Caenorhabditis elegans: one gene and its partner. The protein of the gene in region 2 purifies or fractionates together with the protein of the main gene of each other region. This does not show direct contact. Each region holds a gene or a part of one and is shown on either strand. Other genes may lie near its edges.

Evidence for each region.
Region 1: the proteins of ints-7 (region 2) and Y105E8A.11 fractionate together in Caenorhabditis elegans (co-fractionation; one large-scale study listed by BioGRID). This does not show direct contact.

Annotation. Positions count from the first base shown.
Region 1 is NC_003279.8:14,430,957-14,434,360, reverse strand, and holds Y105E8A.11 (BolA-like protein 3), read right to left. Parts: upstream 1,571-3,404; 5' UTR 1,569-1,570; coding exon 1,397-1,568; intron 840-1,396; coding exon 691-839; 3' UTR 611-690; downstream 1-610. Other genes in the region: hpo-13 (Non-lysosomal glucosylceramidase), read right to left, coding at 2,678-2,942.
Region 2 is NC_003280.10:11,581,083-11,589,155, reverse strand, and holds ints-7 (Integrator complex subunit 7), read right to left. Parts: upstream 6,308-8,073; 5' UTR 6,307-6,307; coding exon 6,143-6,306; intron 5,838-6,142; coding exon 5,306-5,837; intron 5,069-5,305; coding exon 4,931-5,068; intron 4,165-4,930; coding exon 3,841-4,164; intron 3,790-3,840; coding exon 3,052-3,789; intron 2,376-3,051; coding exon 2,203-2,375; intron 2,152-2,202; coding exon 2,031-2,151; intron 1,983-2,030; coding exon 1,884-1,982; intron 1,301-1,883; coding exon 1,142-1,300; intron 1,095-1,141; coding exon 1,014-1,094; intron 971-1,013; coding exon 767-970; 3' UTR 665-766; downstream 1-664. Other genes in the region: F07A11.1 (uncharacterized protein), read left to right, coding at 1-24, 172-455, 508-632; Structural maintenance of chromosomes protein 6 homolog smc-6, read right to left, coding at 6,675-6,815, 6,872-8,073.

The DNA of each region.
Region 1 (3,404 bases), on a different chromosome or scaffold from region 2:
TTTGTCATCATTTCTTAACTCTTTGACCCGTTACTTGTCGTTTTCCCTTTTCTCTCGTTTACTCTGTTTCGACGATGCAATTCGTCTGTTCCCTTTTACTTAATAAACCCTTATAAGATCGATCAGTGTGCGTGAGTGGCAGTTACATCCTATACCTTTATTCTATTAATAAAATAATTCTATTGATTTGATTTATTACCGATTAAACTCGTGATGAAATAAAATAAGAGTTGTATTGTATAAAGACATGGATAAACTAAATACATAATGTTGTACAAAAACAGTATTAAACATTCTTAGAACTATTATATTCTGACTATTTTTTGTTCAGATCGAAATTTACAGGCTTATCTTCTAGTCCGCCCTTTTTAAGACTTCACACAATTCAGGCCTATATTTCGCAAAATTCAGCAAAAAAACTGGCGTCATGGTGCATCGACTATCGATTTTTCGTAATTTTCAGCCATTTCTAACCCATTTTTCAGATATTTTCCCCTTTCTCCCAATATTTTATCTCATGTGCATCGAATCCATTGGTAAATGATCTCCTGATTAGCGCGCGCGAATTTCGATTTTTTTGCAAAAAAAGAGATCTACAATATTCAAAAAGTTCGAATTTAAAATATTCTTTACGATATTATGTCCTTTGAACTAATCAATAACTAGACAAAAAAAATCGATAATTAGTATCTAGGCGGCTTTTGTCTTGATCGTGAGCCCATGCATATCCTTAATCTGCTCCCGGAGAATGGAGGTGACCTGTTTGTGTTGAGCAACTTTCGATTTTCCCTTGAAACCGGCGGCTTCAACGACCACGTCGAACATTGATCCGCAGCCATCTGTAATATGGAGCTTGTAGTTTGTAGTGTATAGTTTGTAGTTTGTAGGGTATATTTTGGAGTTTGTAGTTAGTTTTGTATAGTTTGGAATTTATAGTGTACATTTTATAGTTTGTAGTGTTTAGCTTGTAGTTGGTCGTATACAATTTGTAGTTTGTAGTGTATAGATAGTAGTTTGTGGATATATTTTGTAGTTTGTAGTGTATGGTTTGTAGTTAGTGTTGTATAATTTGGAATTTATAGTGTACATTTTATAGTTTGTAGTGTATAGTTTATAGTTTGTAGTGTTTGGCTTGCAGTTTATATTTCGTAGTTTGTAGTTTGTAGTTTATAGTATACAGTAACTAACTTGTTTTTCATTATTTCTACCATTAATTTTGTGAGCGGAACAAAAAAATCATGAATGAATACCCCACGTATAGACTACAAACTACAAATATTAGTCTGATTATACTAGTTTATAGTATGTCTATTGTAGTTTGTAGTGTGATTATTGTAGTTTGTAGTGTATATTTTGTAGTCTGTAGTATGCCTATTGTAGTTTGTAGCGTACTCACTAGAAACATCGTGAACCTCGACACGAGTACATCCATCAATTCCCTCAGTGAGCAACTTGCTCATTTTCAGCTCGGCTTCTGACATTTTGTGCTCTCCACCACAACATGCCGAGTGACGCCTGATTGCTGAGGAGAGGAGGCCTGATCTCAGTGGGGTGGCAAGGCGGAGCATCTGAAATTTCGAGAAATGATAGCTTTTTTTTCGATTTTTTTCAGATTTGGAGAGAAAAAAAAACAAGAAATTTCACATTTAAACAAAAAATTTGTTATTTTTTCAAATTCTCGAGGTTTTTATAAATTCTGAAAAATGCCGAAAATTCGTAATTTTAGCTTTTTTAGTTTAAAAATTAGAAAAAAAATTGAAATTTTCGAAAAAAAATCAATAAATGTTCTATTATATATTATTATTATATATTTTATATATTATTAAATATTATTATATTATTATATACTATTATATATTATATAATAAATGTTACATTTGTTCTATTTTTCAAAAAAGTAATTAAATTTTTTTTTTTCGAAAAAATTTTCAAAAAATTCAAACTTTTTTAAAGATTTTCTAGAATTCAACTTCGACAAAAATTCGTAATATTTGAAAATTCCAAAAAATTACCAGAAAATGCTTTAAAAGTTAAAATATTTATCTAGTTAATTAGAAAGTATTCCTTTAGCGAAATATTCAAAAAAAACTTTTTTTAATCAAATTTTTCAAATTTTACATTCAAAAAGTCACCTGCAATGCATAATTTACATTACATGAAATTGAATTTTTTTGATTTTTTTCCCAATTATTAAGCTTTTAAAAATTAGCTTAAAAATACAGATTGTCAACATTTTTCAGAATTTTTTTGTTGAAAAAATGCGAATTTTCTCAAAAAAAAAAATCAGTTTCAAAATTGTGAAAAAAAAATTCTAAATGGTTTTTTTTTAAATTTAAGCTTCCGTGATTACTATAACATTTTCAAAAAATTGAGGAAAAAATTCAAAAAATGTTTTTAATTTTTCAAAAAAAAAAGCTCATCCTAAAAAACACCGTAATTAGCTAACTTTTTCAAGAAATTCAAATTTTTTTTCCAAAAAAAAAAAAAAAGGCAAATAGCATAAATTGATATCCTAAATGGACAACAGAAAATATAAAAATCAGAAAAAATTTTTCAAAAAAATACTTGTATTGCATTGTAAAAACGTCATTGCACAATCGAAAATTCGAAAAATAAAAGACCACGTAAAATACAAAAAATCGGGAAAATATCCAAAAAAATCAGTTAAAAAGTACAATTATCGTAGTGTAGCAATCTTTGGAATACTCCTCTCATCATGATAATCACTAACATATCCTAAACTCGAACCATCTTCACTTGTATCCCCTAATATTCGTTGTTTCTGTACTTGAATTGCTGCTTCGGATTCCGGAACAACTTTTTCATTTTTCACCAAATTCGGCAATTTTTCTTCACTCGTATTCATTCCACAATGCTTTTTTAGTGACCATTGCATTGCCCAAATCGATAGAGGACGCATGTAACCAATGGCTCGGTAGAATCTGAAATTCGGATATTTTAGGATTAATTTTTGGGATTTTTTAAAGAAAAAATGTTTGGAAATAAAAAAAAAATTCCAAAATTATTGTTTTTTTGGATATGAATTTTTTGTTTCTATTTTTAAAAATAAATTTCCATTTTTTGGAATTAGTTTTATGAATTTTTGCTTTTTTGAATATCCAAATTTTTCTGGAATCAAAAAAAAAAAAGTTTTAATGTTTTTTTTTAATTTTTTGTAAAGTTTCAAACTTTTTTTTTTGGGATTACGAGTATTTTTGGAAGTTTGAAAAAATAATTTTTGATTTTTTTGGATTTTTTTCTAATTTTTGAATTTTTTTTGGGATTTTTTTTAGAAATGTGTGGAAAATTTTTTTTTTTTTTTTTTGGAAAAATCTATTAAAAAAAACAAATTTCAGTTTTTTTTTTCAACAAATTTCTTTTCCTCACAATTTTTTCGATTTTCA
Region 2 (8,073 bases):
AGTTGAAAGGAATCAGACTTTCAAGTTCGTTTTCTTTTTCACGCAGAACGGTTTTTGCTACGTGGCCTAGAGAAAAGGAAAAACTCGGCCACTGATTTGACCGAGGCTTCTTATTTCACGGCCACGAAGTAAAACCGCGCTGCGAATGATCCAAAAATAAGATTTTTTCAGACAATCAATTGGAATGCTGGAAGAATTTAAAGCTCGTCAAGCTCATGATGATATGGTGATGAGAGATAATCGAAGAGCAAAATATGATAAATTGAGAGATCAGTTGCATGAAAATTCGAAAATGTTGTACCCATTGACCAAAACTGAAAGCCGTCCGATAATTGTTCAACCGGATCCTAGAGTTGAAGCTGCCTGGCGAGAAGCTCATGAGAAATACGATCGAAAGTTTGCAGTTTTACAGGATAACGCTATGAAGAGCATTTCTGGAGCAGCATTAGATGGAGGTATTGTTTGAATTCAAATTTAATTTCATTAGATGAATCTGAAACTTTTCAGTTGCCCATGCTACCACCTCCTGTCGTCGTTGTGCTCGGTGTGCTCGGCCCATGGAACGGAAGACCACCCTGTTTGTTAATCGTGGTGAGACAATTTTACCTCATCAAGCTAATTGGCACTCTTAATTTCATTAAAGTTTCAACAATTTCTAGTTATTTTTAAAATCGAAATAAATATTATTTTTGTGTCGATTTAAATAAAAAAAGAAGGAAAAATGGTTCAAATTCAAAATTATTCACGATATGCTCTATTTCTCTGCTCACGCCTCAGCATGAAACAACGATCCTTTCGGAAAGTGCCTCCTGGGATCCGGTGGAAATTGATGTCCGACTCGTTTCAGCTCGAATCCGACCGATGAATATTTCTCGCGAACTGTGAAGTGAAGTGTCGTCACATTATACGCTTTCCACTGCTTTCGTGATGTTTGATCAATGAATTCGATTCGGAATTTGACGTCGCATGCCTGAAAATTAAAATTTTTTTTTTGATTTGGTGGTTATTTTTACAGTTTTAAAATTGAGCAGGAATTGCGCCGTGAAGTAGTTGTTCTCGCTCGGCTCAACTAACTCTTGCAGAATTTGATTTTGCTGAAAATTATAAAATTTATGGACTTTTCGTTGAGAAAGGCTTATACCGCATGATTTGCCAGATGTGTGATTTCCGCAAAAACAATGATGGATCGAATTGGCGATGGATGTGTTGATGTGATGGCTCCATCTACACGGACAGGGATTGTCTCACCACTGAATACGTTTATTGTCTTGTCCTTTCCAGCTTCTGGTGATGTTGAAATCTGAAAAATTTTGGTGGAATTAATTTGAATTAAAAAATTTGTAATTTTTAACTTGTAATTTTAAAAAGTAATAAAACTTGTTAAAATTCAAATTGATGATGGTTTACGAAAACAATTTTTTAATTTTGATATTCTGAATCAGGGGTGGGCTGCAATTGCCGAAAATTTTCAATCCCGGCAACTTGCCGATTTGCCGGAAAAAATCGTTTAATCGTGTTAAATCGTGGTGATGTGGGTGTACTGTAGGGTTACTGTAGTTTAGGAAAATATGCAATTTTTTAGTTTTCGAAGAAGTACTGTAGGATCCTTTTTGAATTTTAAATTAACGATTCTCATTGAAACGGATTCAAATTTAATTTTTAGCTGAAAAATTGTACTGGAATGAGCACAAATTTATTCTGATAAAAAAATGTTATTTGGCAGGAAATCTTTTTTTTCAATTTTCCAATTTTTATTTTAAAAAAATTAATTTTTCGGTAAAATATCAACTTTTTTACGTTTTTTTTTGTTATTTGCATATTTCCGGAGAAATTTCAGTATCTTCTAGGAATTTTCTAATAAATTTGATTTTTTCTCCGGCTACCTTGAAATCGACGTGATAAAACTGCTGGAAGAAGAATCTCGGAAGCATGTATGGTAGAATGGTCAATTGATTTAGAATGGATAGTAGCGTTTTGATAGTCTGAAATTAATTTTTTTTAAAAAATTCTCCCGAAAATTGTATTCTCACATGAATATTGGGAGAATTTTCATATTTCAAAAGTCGAATTTTCTCAATAATCCACTGAAGTCGCTCTCTTTGAAACAATGAACATGTACGGGCAGTTGTCAATGGTGGAATTTGAATTATTCTGTAAAATTAGCGAAATTTATTTTCACAAAAAAATAAAAGAAAAACCAACGTTTCTGAAGATTGTTTTTTAAGAACGACTCTAACCGCAACGAGAAGAATCGAAACCCGCAAATAGTAGAGAGTTATGAGATCGAAAGATGTTGAATCAGCACAAAAACTCGCTCGGCACAGAGCTGACCATTCGTTGAGAGCTTCATTTATAGACAATTCGCATGAGGAGAGCTGGAATTTTTATTTTATTAGTTTTCAAATGGACTTATTTTTTGAAATTATTTTCTAAACAGTATTGTCATGCAGTGAATTTTGCAAGGCACATTTTCGGATTAAAATAATTTTCAGAAAGAGATAAAAAGCGGTGCGTGGTTTTGCAAGACTGCGGCGCAGTTTGTTGCATGTCGATTTACGGGATAAATTGTACTACACACGGTCAAGTGCGAATTTTCGCTTTTTTCTCGTGGTATTAAACACAATTTTCCCTGAAATTTTTGTTTTTAGACTATTTTTCCTTATTATTTTTGTACTTAATATTGAAAATTACCATTTTCGAACATATTTACAAGGTTTCAAGTCAAAGTCGATATAATCATTGCTGACAACAAAAAAAATCGTTTTCTGTGCATTTTAACAATGAATACATCGTCTTTGAAAACTTGTTAATATGTTAGAAATTCGTCATTTTCAATATTAAATACAAAAATAATTAGACAAAATTGTCTAAAAACAAGAATTTCAAGCAAAATTTCATTTAAAACAACGAGAACAAACCAAAATTCCAACTTGTCCGTGTGTAGTACAAATTCTCTCGTAAATCGACATGCAACAAACCGCGCCGCATGCTTGCAAAACCAGACTCGTTCTCCTTTTTTGTCAATTTTTTTTTAAAGAAAAAGTCACTAACCGCCACCAATAATCGTTGCGCAACGACCGGATTGAAAAACGAATTAGTTTGAAGAGCACCGGATAATGAGAAAATAAATGGACGAATCACAGAGAGTAGATGGAAATGTGCATATGAACTTGAGAGCATCGCAGAGACCATCCCAATTGGAAATCGAAGATCATTGCCAAATCTAGTATTTGATTTGCCTGATTTCAGTGCAGACAAGGCACTTGACAGGTGGGACTGCTGCTTTTCAAGCTGATCAGGCTCTATTTCGAGCAATTGAGAATCTGCGATTTCTCGAAGAGCTGTGATCCATTTTCTTTCAAATTCTGGGAGACTGGACAAGTCAATGCTTGCTAAATTTGGAGACGCCACATGCTTCCACTGTCCATTTCTGAATGCGCTCCTCGCGGTACCATACATTGAAGCCTGACAATCCTTGTAGAAAACTTTTGGAAAATCATTCGGGAGACTCGTTCCAACAGCAAGGCACAAATATGAGAATTGACTTGGATATGCGGAGAATAGTTTCACTTGTTCCTGCATAACTTTGCATGCCCATTTATGAATTTCTGGAATGTAGAGCTTCTCAGAGTCCACGAGTCGACATAACATTTCTAGACGTTCTTTTTGATTATTATCATTTGAAACAATGGACTCAAATGCTGAGAACACAGCTGAGATTATCATTGAAGAAAACGAATGATCAGTGTACGGGAATGATAGGAGAATGTCACCAATTGCACGGAATAGCTGAAAATTTAATAATTTAGAAGGAAAAAAAATACGGTAGAGTTTTTGTACCTTATTAGCAAGTCTATTTTTCAATCTTCCACAAGTGCAAGTATTTATCACAACAACTGTCAGCGAGGTCATCGTTGAATTGATAAACTCTGGAGTGTCATCTTCAAATGTTCTCGGTGAGCACACAACTTGTGAAGCGAAATAGACGAATCGAACGGTGACTTCTGGATTCGCCAGGGATCCATATCCAGTGCTGGATATCACGAGACCTTTCAATGCGAGAAGATTTTCCTTCGGACAGTTCTTAACAAGTGAAGTTGTGGCATCGAAAAAGTCCATTAGAGATTCATCGATCATTGATGGTCGGAGGGATTCCACGAATATCTGGAATTAGCTGTTTACTTCGTGGATTTTTTTTTGTTTTTTTGGTGTTTTTGGCAAAAATTGATTTTTTGATTTTATTCCTTTTCTTTCGGACTTGTTTCTCATTAATGTTATGTTTTAGTTGGTATGATGAAAAAAGCTTTTTTTTTTGAAGAAATTCGATTTTTCGTTTTTTGGTCGAATTTTTTTTTTTTGCAACAGCCTTGGTTCAGATACTAAAACTGGCCCAAAACGACCGATTTTTTTTTCAATCGAACGTCTTGAAATTTTTTTCAATGTTTCGAATTATTCAGACGCGAAATTTTTCGCTTAAATTACGGTAGCCGGTCTCGAAACGACATTTTTTCTTTAAATGTGGAAAGGTGTGTGCACCTTCAAGGATTACTGTAGTTTCAAATTTTCTTTTTTTTCGACTTATAAAAACTATTAGTTTTTATGTTGTATTTTTGAGATCCAAATAAATAAGTGCATATTGTTATTGAAAAAATATGTAAAAATCGATAAGAAATTCCGCAAAAAGAAGGATTTGTAACTACAGTAATCTTTAAAGGCGCAAAATTTTTTGTGTTAGCCAAAATGCGTATTTTTGGCTTAAAAATCTGAACATTTCGGTGGCGTTTTGCAGTATTTTTTTTTTGAAATTTAATATTTAAATTTATAAAAATTCAAATATATTTGCGTATGAATTTATGAATTTACAAGTTTTGAAACGTGAAAATTTTCAAAATCCTTTTCTTCACATTAAAAACACAAAAAAATTCATTACCAGCACTTGCTGCTCATTCCAAATATTCGGAAAATTTGCAAGCCGTCTCAACTGCCTCACAATAATCATTCTTCGATTTCGGGATGGACGACTCGTCCTGGTGTTGGATGGACTGAGAAGATTGAGCAATACGTCGATCTGAAGATGGAAGGACAATTTAAAGAGGAGAAAACAGCGCCAATGGAAAAATGTTGCTTCAAAAACAACCAAAGGGTTTTAAATTCAGAAAAATCATAAAAGAAAATCGAAAAAAAATCGCTAATTAATGATGAATTTTACATTTAAAAACGCGATTTTCCATATCTTCTGTGGTTTTTCTGATTTTGAGACTATTTTATATGAAGCAAAATCTCCATGCTCACTACACCGACATACTTGTTTCGAAATAGCATATCGAATCTCAATGCACAAACTCGTCGTAGACTTCAGAAATGCGTGAAAGTAATCGTCTGTTATAGTTCTGTGAAGAATTGTGTCAGCAACAGAGAACACTTGCTCCACAACTTGAGCTGTCGCACTCATTGTAGAAAATGCTGTGCATAGTTGAATCTTCCGTGGCTCTGAAGCATCATCTTCTTCAAGAATTTTTCCGATTTGAAGAACAATCGATTCGGCGAACGAATGGGATATTGATGCGAATGCTTTGAGAGCATTACATGTTGCTCGAAATTCTCCTTCATGAGTTGTGGATAGAGATTCTCGAATCAAATGATGTGATTGATTGGATTCCGGGAGTAAAGGTGATAACACAGCGAGCACATCCAACACATTTTCTCGAGCATTTGGATCGTTTGAGTGGCTAACTGTCAGAATTCTTCGGAATATTTCTGCAGAGGAAAAAGCCAGTGTGAGATGTGAGCCACATTGTCCAAGAGCACGAGCGATGGCGATGCGCAAGTCCAGATTTCTAGAAGATTAGAAAATATTAAAATTAAATATTAGAATGGCCCAAAACTACGAATTTCGTAATGTTATCGCGGTCAAAAGTTTTGGAAAAAATACAAATTTTTTGCCAACTTGACCAAAAGAAAACAATTTACGCGATTTCTAGACTTGCCAATTTTACAAAATTGGGGATTTTAGCTGGAAATATGCTTTTTTTCTGAAACTTTGCAACTGAAGAAGCTATTTTTGGAGAAATTTTTAGAAGGGCTCATCACGAGATTCGGCCGTTTTGTAACCAATTTTTAATTTTCAGAATTATTTTCTTACCCATCTTTAAAAGCGTCAGCTACACGAAGAAGCATCGCATTCACAAATGTTGGCGCTGGATTTTCTTCGAAAAGCCTGCTGAGCGTCGAGATTGTTGCCAGTTGCTCAGAAGTGCTCCCACGGAGCCCCTTATCAAACAACTGGGCTTGAGCGGTCCCAGACATTCTGAAAGATTTCCAATTTCAATTCCCCTATTGTAGAAATTGAACAAGATAAAACAAAAGTGAAATGAGAATATTAACTCGTTTCGATAGAAATGGCTCAATAATTTAAATTTAAAATGATTCTTTTCATTTTACTAAAGACTTCAAAATAAAGTGGGTAAAAAAATAAAGTATGGTATCAGGAGGAGATTGGAATTTAATTTTGTCATGGGGTTGGTATTTAGGAGGACAGGGGGCTTTAAAACCAATAAAAAAGATCGTTAGGGTCCGATAAAAAATATATGGGGACTGTAAAGCATTTGGAATGAGATGCACAAGAGAGAAAGATATCTTTAGTTTACAAATTATCAACAATTTATTGCCAATATCTAGTCGCGGACTCTGTTCATCTCGAAAACTTGAAGACCATCGACCATGTTGAGTTCCTTGATTCCTTGTGGAGTGAAGAAGATGAACTGATTGTGAGGGAACTTCTTGGTGGCCAGCTCGACGAGCAAATCCATCACCAGCTGAAAAATAACAAAATATTTAATGTTCATACTGAAAGAGTCCTACAAGATCTCACCTTTCTATTCATCATGTCCATAAAGACATCAAACTCATCCATCATTCGGAATGGCTGCTCCATAACTTCCCACAAGGACATGACGAGTGCGGCAGTCACAAAAGACCGTTCTCCTCCGGATAATCCTTTCAGATCACGAACTCTCTTCTTTTTCTGGCCGCTCTTCTTGGACTTCTTTCTACGCGGACCGGTACTATCGTCACTATCATCATCATACGAATGCTCGTCGACTTCTTCTACCTCAAGGACTTCAGGTCTTCGTCCAGCCATCGCATCCTTCTCTTTAGAAGATTGAACATTCACATTAAGTGTCTCCTTCTCGTGATCGAATTCGAGACCACCGATAAAATGACCTCGAACTGCGAGCAACTCCTGGAACTTGTTACACACCTTCAATTCCGTGAACTTTTTCAAGCTCGGATATGCTTTTACACGGGCTGCATGAAGATTTTTAAGCTCGATGAGAACATCTTCAATCATGCGACACAGATACTTCAACCTTTTCAGTTTATCTTTAAAGTCTTTAACACATTCAAGAGTAATAGTAGTGTCACATCCAACTGTTGCTCTGTCAACTGCTTTCTGCATTTCTTCGATCTTTCTCTGAGCTTCAGTCGTCGACGGGAAACTTGAAAGATCTGGTGGATCTGTCTCGCCAGGTGGCATTGGATGATTCTTTTTGTCGTTTTCCACCATTTCCATCGCATCGTCTCTTTCAGATTTGAGTTTCGCCTCTGTGTGGAAGAATACACCTTCGTCAGCTTTCACTTTATCGAGACGAATTTTGAGAATCTCTCCGGCGTCGTCATACTTGCTCAATTCGTTTTGAAGTTTCTGGGATTTACTTGCAAAATCTCGTGTTTCTTTTTGAATTTCCGCTAGCGTATGTTCCGCTTCTTTCCTCTCTTGAATAACTGGAGCCATGTCTGCAGTGATGTCTGCCACATTTTTCAGAATATCTTTGACTTCATCCTCGATTAAAGGAATCTTTTTCTGCATTTCCTCAATAGATTCATTCAGATTTTCCACTTGATCTTCATTCGCAGTTTGCGCCAATTCTGCTCTCAAATCTTTTGCCTGACGTTCTTTCTGCAATTCTTGAGATCGAAGATTTGACAATTTTCTATCGAATTCATCAATTGCAGCTTTCGTCTGATCACGCTCATTATATATCACTTTCAGCTCATGATCTTGTTTTCGCA